3 linked regions of the Canis lupus familiaris genome follow. Each later gene encodes a partner of the first gene's protein in a complex. Links are inferred from orthologs where the notes say so. Each region holds a gene or a part of one and is shown on either strand. Other genes may lie near its edges. The genes, in order: DDX5, HNRNPH2 and PA2G4.

What was found.
Region 2: DDX5 (region 1) and HNRNPH2 share a complex: the UniProt entries of both Homo sapiens proteins name them as parts of the ribonucleoprotein complex. The link is inferred for Canis lupus familiaris from reciprocal best matches to the Homo sapiens genes DDX5 and HNRNPH2.
Region 3: DDX5 (region 1) and PA2G4 share a complex: the UniProt entries of both Homo sapiens proteins name them as parts of the ribonucleoprotein complex. The link is inferred for Canis lupus familiaris from reciprocal best matches to the Homo sapiens genes DDX5 and PA2G4.

Annotation. Positions count from the first base shown.
Region 1 is NC_049230.1:14,615,716-14,620,454, reverse strand, and holds the start of DDX5 (probable ATP-dependent RNA helicase DDX5), read right to left. Parts: upstream 3,008-4,739; 5' UTR 2,980-3,007; exon of another isoform or gene 2,536-2,979; intron 2,356-2,535; 5' UTR 2,221-2,355; coding exon 2,177-2,220; intron 959-2,176; coding exon 793-958; intron 461-792; coding exon 364-460; intron 266-363; coding exon 132-265; intron 11-131; coding exon 1-10. Other genes in the region: CEP95 (centrosomal protein of 95 kDa), read left to right, coding at 3,247-3,265. UniProt on the Homo sapiens protein: Involved in the alternative regulation of pre-mRNA splicing; its RNA helicase activity is necessary for increasing tau exon 10 inclusion and occurs in a RBM4-dependent manner. Binds to the tau pre-mRNA in the stem-loop region downstream of exon 10.
Region 2 is NC_049260.1:75,730,402-75,734,766, forward strand, and holds the end of HNRNPH2 (heterogeneous nuclear ribonucleoprotein H2), read left to right. Parts: intron 1-171; exon of another isoform or gene 172-390; intron 391-1,201; 5' UTR 1,202-1,254; coding exon 1,255-2,604; 3' UTR 2,605-3,430; downstream 3,431-4,365. UniProt on the Homo sapiens protein: This protein is a component of the heterogeneous nuclear ribonucleoprotein (hnRNP) complexes which provide the substrate for the processing events that pre-mRNAs undergo before becoming functional, translatable mRNAs in the cytoplasm. Binds poly(RG).
Region 3 is NC_049231.1:780,083-784,291, reverse strand, and holds part of PA2G4 (proliferation-associated protein 2G4), read right to left. Parts: coding exon 4,154-4,209; exon of another isoform or gene 4,060-4,153; coding exon 3,990-4,059; exon of another isoform or gene 3,882-3,989; intron 3,744-3,881; coding exon 3,651-3,743; intron 1,083-3,650; coding exon 1,019-1,082; intron 791-1,018; coding exon 712-790; intron 562-711; coding exon 483-561; intron 388-482; coding exon 254-387; intron 1-253. UniProt on the Homo sapiens protein: May play a role in a ERBB3-regulated signal transduction pathway. Seems be involved in growth regulation. Acts a corepressor of the androgen receptor (AR) and is regulated by the ERBB3 ligand neuregulin-1/heregulin (HRG).

The sequences.
Region 1 (4,739 bases):
GCAGCAAATACTATTTGGGGTGGGGGAACAAAACAAAAGTTAAATTAAAAAGCTTCTAATTTCCTTATATCACTAATCCATTTTCTCTAACATAATCACATATTAAAACTCAAAAATTCTTCCACACTTACAGACAATGTTTTCCCGGATCCAGTCTGTGCTACTCCAACCATATCCAAACCACTTAGAGCAACGGGCCATCCCTGAGCTTGAATTGCAGTGGGTTCAGTAAAATTCTGTCTTGCAATCACATCCATTACATTTGCTGTAATTAGCAACAGTAATTCAGTAAATTTAGTGAAGCTAAGAAAAAGGGTGAAATTAATAAAGGGGGGGGAGTGAGTGCTCTGAACTAGCACTTACCAGGGAAGTTTGCTTCATAAAAATTCAGAACTGGCTTTGGGCAGTTGTGACCTCTAACCGTAATTTCCTTACTCCTTCTGTATGTCTCCACCTCTTGCTATAAAACAAATTTTAATAACCTACTAAGTACCATAACAACCTTCACCAATATGCAGTCAGCAGGCCTTAAGTTTATCAAGGATTAGCAAACTGTAACGGGCCATTTAAAATCTATATCCACATATAGAAAACCTACAGAGCACAAGATCCATCTATTGTAGTTATATTTAACCACTCTAAACAGAAAAATTCAAAGATACCACTTGCCAAAGCACCTCCTCTTCCTCGACTATCAGAAAATATGAGTTTTCCAAGGCCTCTGTTCAAATTTCTGTTTACTAAAAGTCACTGTTGAGTTACAGCCCAAGGAAGCCCTGTGAAATTACTCACTGCTGTGCGCCTAGCCAAATCAGGGTGTTCTTGATAAAAATTCTTCTCAAATTTGGGCAGCTCATCAAGATTCCACTTCTTTTTGACTAATTTCTCCCCAGGGTTTCCAAACTTCTTTCCAGATAGGGGCCCTGCCCTACTTCCCCCAAATCGAGGTGCACCAAACCTGAAATTAAAACAAAAAAGTTATATTTTCAACTACCTACTAAGACGTTTACATACAGACTATTTATTGTCCCTTGACACACAGTACAGATAAATGAAAGACTTTTCGAGGTTTAAGACTTAGCACTGTCCTTAGTGATGGGTCATGCTCTCAAAAGCCACAATTAGCACCATCTCTCTCACTTTCCGTTGTCCCAAATACACACTATTGAAGCCAAATCAACAGCCCGGGATTTATCAGGTCGGAAATTGGCTGCCCAAACGCCCCATGTTCAGATTACAAGGATAGACAACAGCTTGTGGCTCCTAGTCTTTCCCGTGAGCTTAGGCATTAAATGTCTGGGGGAGAGACAATACAAGGGAGGTGCGTAACAGCAATGTTATTATCAGCTCTTTCCAAGCCAAGCAGCTTTGGTTCTAAGGAATAATGGGACAGCACCAACGAGAACAGAACAAGGACGGTGGTCTCAGAGACATTTATGCAAGCCCATCGAATTGGGGGGATCCCCCCGGAGGGCTCCTCATCAAGATAGCAAAATTATATAACGCAAAGAAAAAGAGGAGGAGGAGCTGGCAACTACCGGGGGAGGAGTCCCGGACCGGGCGGCGTTCCCGCTGGGGCGGCGCTTCCCCCTTTGTCTCGCATTTCTCTCTGCGCCACATTTTCTCGACGCTGCCATTTTGAGCTCCTCCGCCGGGCGGGGTAACAAAGGCGCCGCCGCCATGTCCGGCGCCGGCATTTTGTACCCGCGGCTCAGCCACATGGCCGATTCCCGCGGTGCCGGCCGCCCTCCTGCTCCCGCGCCATCAATGGCTCGTGAGGCGACCCCTTCGATTACCACAGAACTCCCGGGGCCCCTACAACACTTCCCGAAAAGATGCACCGAACAGCGGTGACTTCGTTCTCCTGAAAGCGTCGCGCTTTCCAACCATTGAAATACACTCCCCCGAATTGTCCCCAACAGCTGCTCAGTCGGCGGGGGCGGGGGCTTCGGCGCCTCCCCCATCCCCCCACCAACAAAAGGCGAGCTTGAGGACCGTTAACAGGGAAACATCCCTCTGTCAGTTCCGGACAAATATCAAAATGGCGCAAGCCTTCGATTCGTAAAGGTTAAATATAGCCGGAAAAAGCCGACTGTCCATCGCCCCCGCCCGCCGCCTCCTTCATCGGCCTCCCATCCCCCACTGCCGGGCCTGACAAGTCCGTTCCCACACTCACCCTCGATCCCGGCCGCGGTCTCGGTCACTCGAATAACCCGACATGGCGTCAATGGTTGCGGTTGGCGGGGAACGAAGTAAAGAGAATCGGGTGCGACGAGTCGCTGCAGGTGGCTTTGGCGATGGCAAAGCCTTGCGGGGGCGGCAGCGGCAGCGGGGCGGCGATGACAGGGGCCGGAGCTGCTCGACAAGAGACCGGTGGAAATGAATGAGGTGCCGGCCGCGTCCCGGCAGCCGGTTTTATAGCCTGGACCGCCTCCTCCGCCGCGGAGAATGCTGGGAGCCGCTCTATGACCTAATCACCCCGCCCCTGCGCAGAGGCCGCAACGCCCGCCGGCGTTCCGGGATCCGCCATGTTCTCGCCCCACCCCCACCCTCCGCTTCCCTCAGAGTCGCCGGCTTGGGGCCCCTTTCACGGCTGGGCCCACCCGCACTGAGACGCCTTAGCCTACTCTGTGTTCTTCACCTTTTTCTCGTCTTTCCACACCTCAAGGAAGCCACCCCGCCCTTTCCCAGGTCTAGCCCTGCCGACAAAATGGCCAGCACAGACCAACCCACTCAGCCCACTTGGAGATGTTTACGTCTCCGAAGAGCCTTCACGCCCCTAACCAAGTGAGACGGGAAGGCGGAGCCTGACATTGTCACGTGACTGCTCCCGCCCATCGGGTAAGCGGACCGCACTACTTCTCCACTTGGCGTCGGCGGAGGAATACGAAACGAAATAGCTCGCCGGAAGTGCCGTACTATTGCCCCCGGGAGGCCGGCCAGGGCCGCTGGGTGACCCGGCCTGTCAAATCCACCCACCTGAGAATCCCTCAGCGGGATCTTGCCCGCGGAGAATGGTACCTAGAGCCCACAAACCGCCGCCTGGGCGCGTGCTGCGAAAGGAAGTCCTCCCGTGATGACCAATCAGCAGCAAGAAGCCGTTTTAACGTCCCTCCCTCTTTCACCCCCTGCCCTTTCGTTTCGTTCTCCCCCCACCTCGGCGTTGCGTCTGCGCTGTGCGGCCCTTCCCGGACGCCGTCCGCCTCGCGCCCAGCTGGAAGTCCGGCAGCGACCTGCCTCCGTGACATGGCCGGCTCAGAGGCTGGTGAGTCTCGGCCCGGAGCCCGGGTGTGTGTGGACTGAAACCCTTTAAGTCCGCCGGACGCTCCTAGGCCTTTTATCTCGAATCCTCCGGCTGGACTCCCTGGGTCTGGGCTGCCGGCGGGGCTGGTGACAGACACCCAGTCGCAGTCGGCGGTTCCGTGGGTTTCTTGGCCCCGCTCTGGGTCCCCCTCCTAGAGGCCATCTAGCGAGATCTTGGGGTGTGGAGAGAAGAACCCCGTGGCGAGGCCCGCAGCACGCCCGCAACCTGGCTGCAAAAAGGGCAGTCGGAAAGCTGCTTCCCGGGACTCGTGTTTCTCTGGGGCATCCAGCCACTGTCAGCGCGCTCTCTGCCTCTTGGATTGTGGGGACTGAGGCCGTTACCTCCATGTGCATTGAAGTTTTGAGGGGAACGGCACTCTAAAGATCTGCTGATGCTCCTGCCACAGTAGGATAGTGGCGGATTTTTCTCTTCAGTGCCCTCTGGAGTTACCTGCATTGTCTAGCAACCGCTTTTGAAAACCGAGTGGGTTGGGTTGTCCGGGACGCTTTTCTTTTCATCCTTTCCTCAGGACAGCGTTCAAACCAGCTCGTGGTTTGGTCAGCTGTGAGAAGTGGGCACGGGGACAGGGAGATAACGTGCCTTGAACGCGCTCAGTTCGTCAAATACGAAGTAGAAGGACTTCTTAACCACCTTAAATTGTATCAGGGAGCAAATAGGTCAGGCTTTAGAAATTACCTTTGTTGGAGAAAGTCGTGAAATAATCTTGCTAATTCCGACCGTATCTGGGGGTGGGGTGCGGTGGCACACAGGAAACTTCCAACAGTGTTGGTAATGTGCTAGTTCTGAATTTAGGGATGTCTTTGTGTATTGCCTGTATTTTACTTCTTATTCATTGACTTTATTTTTTTTATAAGATTTTATTTATTTATTTGAGTGAGAGCATGAGCAAGGGGAAAAGCAGACTCCCCGGTGAGCAGGGAGCCAGACTTGGGGGCTCCATCCTGCGGGGATCATGACCTGAGCTGAAGGCAAAGGCTTAAACCGATCGAGCCACCCAGGCGCCTCCATTAAATGTAATTTTTTTAAAGAACTAAAACAAATGTTGCAGTGTTGGGGTCATTACTTCAGTTTTTTAACAGCCTGAATTAATCACCACCTTTTGGGGCACCAGAGAAATTCTGACTTGCACAAAATAATTGGGTAGAAACATGACTAATGCTATTGGGAATTTGAAGCAGCATCCATTAATTAGTTTCTGCTAATCTCAGACAATCGTTAACAAACTGTCTCGTTTATGACATCTATTCCTGTTTACTTTTAAGTATGTTAAAAAACAGCTATGTATGGCTTGTAAAATAAGAAAAGGTAAAATAACAAGGTTTTAGTTTGCAACAGTAAAAATTGGATTTGCATCATAGGTTTGACTGCATTGAAATTCCAGCCCTCTGGAAGTCATCCCAAGAAATTAAATATG
Region 2 (4,365 bases), on another chromosome or scaffold:
CTATCCTTTCTTTTTTAAAACTGTTGCCTTAGGTGAAATCCTTATTGCCAAAAAGAGGTTGGGGTTATAACTGATCCTGCTTGTGTCACACCAGCCCCCTCTGTTTGAGTTCCACACTGTTGCCAGGGTGATCTATTATTTGAAAAGGCTCTGGTTACCTCACTTTCCTCCCCTCACTCCCTTACCCACTCCCTTACCCATTCCCTTACCCTCACTCCCCTACCCCACTCCTCTGTTTTAAAACCCTTAGAAGACTCTTAACGTTTGTCTATCAAGTAAGGCCTTTGGGATCTTACTCTCTACCTTGCCAGCCTTAACTTCTTGCCTGGGCTCATCCTATTTTATGCTCCATTGTAATTTTTAAAAATTTATTTGTGGATCCTTGAACTGGTGAGTCTGTTTAAACAATTCTGTGCCAACTGTTAGAATTGACCAACTAGTCCCTGTTTTATACCACCTTTTCACGCTATACAGAATTTTGTCATAGCAGGAATAATGTTTATTTGCCCTTTTGCCTTTAGTAAAGATGTATAATGCCCCTGTAGGACTATAAACCCTTTCTTGGTTTATTGATCCTTGTATCCCAAAGCCAAGTACTGGACTTGCCAGTTGAAAAATATAAAATGAATGTATGATCACCCTTAATGTCTTTTTCCCATTTATTGCTTAGGCCTTAATATTTCCTTGATTTTATTAATTGGCATGAGTTCATTATATAAGGATATTAATGTACTGTTGTGTCTTCTCAAGTGTATTGTCTTTTAATTCTGTTTAATCTTACCTTTGATGTAATGAAGTTTTTCATTTTTATGTAATCAGGTATAGCTATCTCGTATTTGTTCACAGCTTCCAGTGATTTTGCTGCTGATTTTTTATGCCTTTTGTGTTCTATGATGTTAATATATGTTCAATATAGAAAACCTAAAACATAGAAATGTCCAAAGAAAATACTCCTTTAATAAAAAAGTTCCCATAAGCCTACTGCCCAGAAATAACCACTATTAACGGTATTCAACACATAATAGGTATTGAGTAAATAATCTTTGGATGAATGAATTAAAAATTTGGTGCAGTCTTTTTATTTATATGAATATTTTAGAACAAAGCTATCCGTTTGAGTTTTATATTATTGGTTTGCTTTTTTCTCTTACTATGTTGTGAACATTTTTCCATGACAATAGTCTTCTAATTTTTTTTTTAGCTACACTGAAACTGCATTGAGCCAAGCTTGCCACCAAGAGCCCAACAATCATCATGATGCTGAGCACGGAAGGCAGGGAGGGGTTCGTGGTGAAGGTCAGGGGCCTACCCTGGTCCTGCTCAGCTGATGAAGTGATGCGCTTCTTCTCTGATTGCAAGATCCAAAACGGCACATCAGGTATTCGTTTCATCTATACCAGAGAAGGCAGACCAAGTGGTGAAGCGTTTGTCGAACTTGAATCCGAAGATGAAGTGAAATTGGCATTGAAGAAGGACAGAGAAACCATGGGACACAGATACGTTGAAGTGTTCAAGTCCAACAGTGTTGAAATGGATTGGGTGTTGAAGCATACAGGTCCGAATAGTCCTGATACTGCCAACGATGGCTTCGTCCGGCTTAGAGGACTCCCATTTGGCTGTAGCAAGGAAGAGATTGTTCAGTTCTTTTCAGGGTTGGAAATTGTGCCAAATGGGATGACACTGCCGGTGGACTTTCAGGGGCGGAGCACGGGGGAGGCCTTTGTGCAGTTTGCTTCGCAGGAGATAGCTGAAAAGGCCTTAAAGAAACACAAGGAAAGAATAGGGCATAGGTACATTGAAATCTTCAAGAGTAGCCGAGCTGAAGTCCGAACCCACTACGACCCCCCGCGAAAGCTCATGGCTATGCAGCGGCCAGGTCCTTATGATAGGCCAGGGGCTGGCAGAGGGTATAATAGTATTGGCAGAGGGACTGGGTTTGAAAGGATGAGGCGTGGTGCCTATGGTGGAGGGTATGGAGGCTATGATGACTATGGTGGCTATAATGATGGCTATGGCTTTGGGTCTGATAGATTTGGAAGAGACCTCAATTACTGTTTTTCAGGGATGTCTGACCATAGATATGGAGATGGTGGGTCCAGTTTCCAGAGCACCACAGGGCACTGTGTACACATGAGGGGATTACCTTACAGAGCCACTGAGAATGATATTTACAATTTTTTCTCACCTCTTAACCCCATGAGAGTGCACATTGAAATTGGACCCGATGGCCGAGTTACTGGTGAGGCAGATGTTGAATTTGCTACCCATGAAGATGCTGTGGCAGCTATGGCAAAAGACAAAGCTAATATGCAACACAGATACGTGGAGCTCTTCTTGAATTCTACTGCAGGAACAAGTGGGGGTGCTTATGATCACAGCTATGTAGAACTCTTTTTGAATTCTACAGCAGGGGCAAGTGGTGGTGCATATGGTAGTCAAATGATGGGAGGAATGGGCTTATCCAACCAATCTAGTTATGGGGGCCCTGCCAGCCAGCAGCTAAGCGGGGGTTATGGAGGTGGGTACGGTGGTCAGAGCAGTATGAGTGGATATGACCAAGTGCTGCAGGAAAACTCCAGTGACTATCAGTCAAACCTCGCTTAAGTAAACAATACTAAACAGCTATTACAAAAATAAAATCTCTGCATTTATGGGAGTTGTAGAATGGGAGGGATGTCTAGTATATCCAGTATGATTGGTAAATGGGAAATACTGATTCTGATCACTCTTGGTCAGCTTCCTCTTTCTTTCTTTCTTTCTTTCTTTCTTTCGTTCTTTCGTTCTTTCGTTCTTTCATTCTTTCCTTTTTTTTTTTAAGAAAACAAAAGTTAAGTTTAACAGTTTTGCATTACAGGCTTGTGATTCATGCTTACTGTAAAGTGGAAGTCAAGGTTTTACAACTTTAAGCTCAGTAATTTTGAACACTGAAACATTCATCTAGGGTGTAATAACAACGTTCAGTATTGACCATAACTGTTAAAACAATTTTCAGCTTTCCTCAAGTTAGTTACATTGTAGGAGTATACCTAAGCAGTAAGCATTATTTAGGTTAAAGCAGTTTCACTTATGTTAAATGTTGCTCTTATACCACAATACCTTGAAAACTTTGGATGCATGTTGAGAAACATGCTTTTCTGTAAAACTCAAATATAGGAGCTGTGTCTACGATTCAAAGTGAAAACATTTGGCATGTTTGTTAATTCTAGCTTTTTGGTTTAATATCCTGTAAGGCACGTGAGTGTACACTTTTACTTTTTTAAAGATCTGGGACAATTTTGAGATGTAATACCAATACTTTAGGAGTTTGGTCATGTTGTTTGTATGAGATTCTGAGACTTTGATTTAAACCTTTCCTTGTATTGTGATTTCCATTAGATGTATTGTACTAAGTGAAACTTGTTAAATAAATCTTCCTTTTAAAAATGAAAAATCTTGTGCAGCTTGATTTCTTTTAAAAATTTTATTTATTTGAGAGAGAGAGAGGCAGAGAGATCAAAGAAGGAAAAGCAGATTTGCCGCTGAGCCGAGAGCTGGATGCAGGGCTCAATCCCGGGCCACTGAGATCATGACCTAAGCTGAAGGCAGACATTTAACTGAGCTACCCAGGCGCCCCAACAGCTTAATTTTTTAAAAATGTTCCATCATATGAACCATTTCTTTGATACAAGTCCTCTGCACTTGAAACTTATTTTTTTAAGATTTTTATTTATTTATTTGATAGAACAAGCAGGGTGGAATGGCAGGCAAAGGGAGAGGGAGAAGCAAGACTCCACACTGAGGAGGGTCCCGGACATGGGGCTTGATCCCAGGACCTTGAGGTCATGACCTGAGCCAAAAGCAGATACTTAACCCACTGAGCCACCCAGTGCCCCTGCCACTGAAATTTAAATTTAATTTTTATAAACACACATTAGTACCATCATACATAAATTGTTCACTGTATCATTATTTTTAAGATCTATGCCTAAAAGTGGGATTGTTGAGTCAAGTGTACCCACATTTTTAAGGCTTTTGATTTGCATTGTCACATTATGGTACTCTTTGCACTGCCCCCCTCCACCATGATGCATATTATTCTTGATCTTGGCTAATTTATTAGTTGAAAAATGGTATCCCGTTGCTATTTTAATTTGTTTAATGAGGTAGAGTATTATTCTGTTTCTAAACTCTCCATGTCCACAGGACTATTGGGCTTCTCTGGAAACTATACTTTATCAAGACAGCATTCTCCAAAAGCCAGAAAGTAAAAACAAATCCCCTTCCTTTCATTGAATCATATATGGAAGATCTAAGGCACCTTTATATGTTCTAAAAAAGAAGCCTATGTTATTATATAAGTAATTCAGTCTCCTCCATGAATTTATT
Region 3 (4,209 bases), on another chromosome or scaffold:
TTACCATTTTCCTGTTTTTAAATAGCTCCTACCCTCAGGCAGAAATCATGCTTAGGATTGCTCTTGCACATTATCTTCGATGAGAGGGCAATGGGGAGAGGGAGAGAAGGCATGCATGCAGGCTGGAGCTACAAGTCTAGGCAGGGGCAGGGTGGGAGGGGGTGCACTGGGAGAGGTAACAGTGTTCCTGGGTGTGTGGTCTATGAGTCAGGCTGGTTCTGAGTCCTGTTCTTGTTAAGTGCAGTCATAGTACCTTAAAGTAAATGGCATGGCATCAAAACGCCTCTCCACCTCACTGAAGAAGGCACGTGAAGTTTTCATTTTTAGGCCATACTGTTTAGAAGGGTCTCGTTTGTAAATGGTGGTTCTCTGTCCTGCATCCTTGGCCTAAAAGAGTAATGCGTTAGGTCACAGTTGGTCTGGTGCTCTTAGAACATACCTTCAACTACCCCTCTTTGGTAGCTCTGGTAAACTCTCCTCACCTTGCCCTCTCCTGAGCTGACAAGAACATCCACAGCATATACTTCATGTACCTCAAATTCAGCTTTTTCATGGTCCTTCCTAAAAGGAATAAAAAGCGAACCATAAAAAAAATGATTAGTCCCTGGAGTATGAAATAGAAAGGCAGACACAATTAGGCTGGGTGTATGGAAGAAAACATTCATGACTAGTCTCAGATGGTAGAAAGTAAAGGGTGGAATTGGCACCTACTTCTGCTGGTCTGTGGGATTCTGGATAATGGTTTTCTCTCCATCGATGACATGCTGCTTCAATTGATGTGACAACATACCTGTAGACACGACAAAGCCATTTAGAATCCCAGAGGGTTTCCAAATCCACCCATCGACACTGTGACAGGGCATGCAATAAAGGAAAAGTGCCTGGCTATGAAAACTCAGGGTAGTATGGGTTTTGGCTTAGACTGTGCTAGAGCCAGGATAGATCCTAAAAGGAGCAAAATTCTTCATTCTACTAAAGCACTCACTCAGACCCTCAACCCTGTTATCTGAGGTCTCACCTTCTATTGGTGTGCAATTAAACGAGTGGGCAACTTTGTTCCAGGCTTCTGTCACTTGTGTGTTCTAGAAGTACAAAATCAAGTAACAGGTGAGATATATACCAGAGGTCAACAAGTTCTCTAACATGAGAATGAAAGGGATAAAAAAGAACTGAGTCTCCATATCCTCCATCAAAAAGCAATGATTCTCAGTGGCTTTTCATTTCATAGCCCTATTATCCCTACAACCTAAAAACACCTTATATTAGCTTATCATTTTATAAATGCTTTCACCAAGATGGTCCAAGTAGACAATAATTCTGAAAGATGAATGGGGCAGAGCTATATTCCATATCCCAATTTAGAAGATGTATAAACTGAGGCTTGGAAAGGTTAAAAAAGATTTGCATAGGGTTAAGCCAGTTAACCGAAAGAAATGGGAATAAACCCAGGTTTTCTGGTGATAAATCCCGTGTTTATCTCATGATATCTGTTGAGAGAGGACAAGTTCTGATTTTCCCTTTTAACTCTTTCAAACATCTGATCTCCACCTAAACTATTTCCTTTGTCATTAAACAAAATGAAAAATACATAATCATAACTAATAATACTAAATTTTGTGTTAGGTACTTCACATGGATCATCTCAATTGTCGTAACAACCCTATGACAATAAGGGGCAATTTTATTTTTCCTATTTTGCAGATGAGGAAATCTGAATTCCAAGTTACTTTTAAACAGTAAGGGGTGGCAACAGGGCAAGAACCCAGAAATTCTGATGTATGTCATAATTTACAATAGCCACTATACAATTATACGTTCCAGTGGAGATATGCAATAGTTAGTATATAAAGAATAAAAATAGGGGATCCCTGGGTGGCGCAGCGGTTTGGCGCCTGCCTTTGGCCCAGGGCGCGATCCTGGAGACCCAGGATCGAATCCCACATCAGGCTCCCGGTGCATGGAGCCTGCTTCTCCCTCTGCCTATGTCTCTGCCTCTCTCTCTCTCTCTGTGACTATCATAAATAAATTAAAAAATTAAAAAAAATATTAAAAAAAAAAAAAGAATAAAAATAATTAATGTGCACAAGCGCTTACTATGGGCCAGGCACTGTTCAAAGAGCTTCATAACAGTGGTAGGAAGTAGTATCATAAGGAAACCAAGACAGAGGTATAAGTAAAAATGATATGAATAACAATGGAGATGAGGTACAAACTGATTAAAAGCATAAAAAACAAGAGCACAGGGGAACAAAAAAGGCAAGCTTTAAGTATCGAATAGGACCCTGGAGACTGAAGTGTTAGAAAAAATGTCTCCACTCATAATCTAACATGTTAAAGTGTATTAATCCATAACAGTTCATGATCCCTAGGCTTCCTGATATTGTCTTGCAAGGCAAAGAACTCACTTTTGGCCTCTCTCTGCTACCAGTTTACTGGTACTATTATGATTTGTTTCATTAGCTTTTAAAGTTGGGTTTTGGGAGTACCTGCCTGGCTCGGTTGGAAGGGCAATTCTTGATCCTGGGGATGGGATTTTGAGCCCCACATTGGGTGCAGAGGTTACTCAAGTAATTAAGTTAAAAAGAAAAAGGTTTTATTTTATTTTATTTTATTCATTTATTCACGAAAGACACACAGAGGCAGAGACACAGGCAGAGGGAGAAGCAGGCTCCATGCAGGAAGCCAGATGCAGGACTTGATCCCGGGTCTCCAGGAACACGCCCTGGGCCGGAGGTGGCGATGAACCAACCGCCAAGCCACCACGGCTGCCCTTTCATCTTTTTTCAACATGTATTTTACTCCAAGTGATATACCTCAAATTATTTTAGGAAAAGATGCACAACCAAAACATGAAAAAGGAAAGATCTCTAGGCTCCATGAAGAATGGATCATACATCCCCATATACCTAGCATGGACCTTACCTATGATAGGCACTCAGAGTTAAACAGTGCTTAGTTAACTGCCTCTTCTATTTCAGAAATCTGTTTCTAATTTTGTTTTTTTTTTAAAGATTTTATTCATTCATTCATGAGAGAGAGAGAGATAGAGAGGCAGATGCATAGGCAGAGGGAGAAGCAAGCTCCCTGCAGGGAGCCTGATGCGGGAACTTGATCCCAGGACTCTGGGATCATCACCTGAATCAAAGGCAGACGTTCAGTCACTGAGCCACCCAGGTACCCCAGAAATCCAATTCTAATTTTAAAGAGCTGTTTGTATTAGGGGCACCTGACTGGCTCACTCAGTAGAGCATGTGACTCTTGGTCTCAGGGTCATGAGTTCAAGCCCCACCTTGGGTATAGAGCTTACTTAAAAAAACAAAACAAAGAAAAACTGTTTTATAAGGGGGCTGCAGAAGCTGGGAATTCAATAGAGAATAGTTATATGTGGGATGCCTGGGTGGCTCAGGGGTTGGGCGTCTGCCTTTGGCCCAGAGCGTGATCCTGGGATCTGGGATTGAGTCCCACGTCCCACATTGGGCTCCCCACAGGGAGCCTGCTTCTCCATCTGCCTATGTCTTTGCCTCTCTCTAAATATGTATCTCTCATGAATGAATAAATAAAATCTTAAAAAAAGAGAGAGAGAATAATTATATGTGACTAATCAACTTTGGCTCTATCATCTTTGGAACTGGACTCAACAGCTTACTTACCTGGTTTCCAGGTTTGACCAGGCGTAGAGCAGCTTCAGCACAAAGGTGAGCTGCCTTAATGACATCTGCTTTCCGCCCTGTTACTTGGGTCCCCTGTAGATAAGGAAATGCAATCAGTACCTTCCTGGATGCAATCAGTACCTTCCTGGAAAGTGCTTTACTCAAATGGTCACTATGCAAGGCCAGCCAATGAACAGGAGAGAAAACACTTTTCTCTTTTTATTTCTCTAGGGAATCTCTCAAAACATTTGGCGGTAGAGAGTGGGAATAAAAAGCAAGCAGCAGCATATCCTCCCCCACTCCCCATAGGTAGAACAGAATTCAAAGGAGGCCACCTACCTGAGCTACATCAACCACAAAAGTGTGAGCCACATTAGCGATGAAGCCATCCACATGGACCCCAAGGTCACTAAAAGGCAAGAAGAGCAGAGCACAGCATTAGCAACTAGCACTACGCAAAGGCTTAGGAAAAAGACAAGTGCTCTAAAACGGCTTAAGCTTACATTTTTACCAAGTCACCTTCCTTGAGAATATAGTCCTGGTCGCTCTTCAAAGGGGA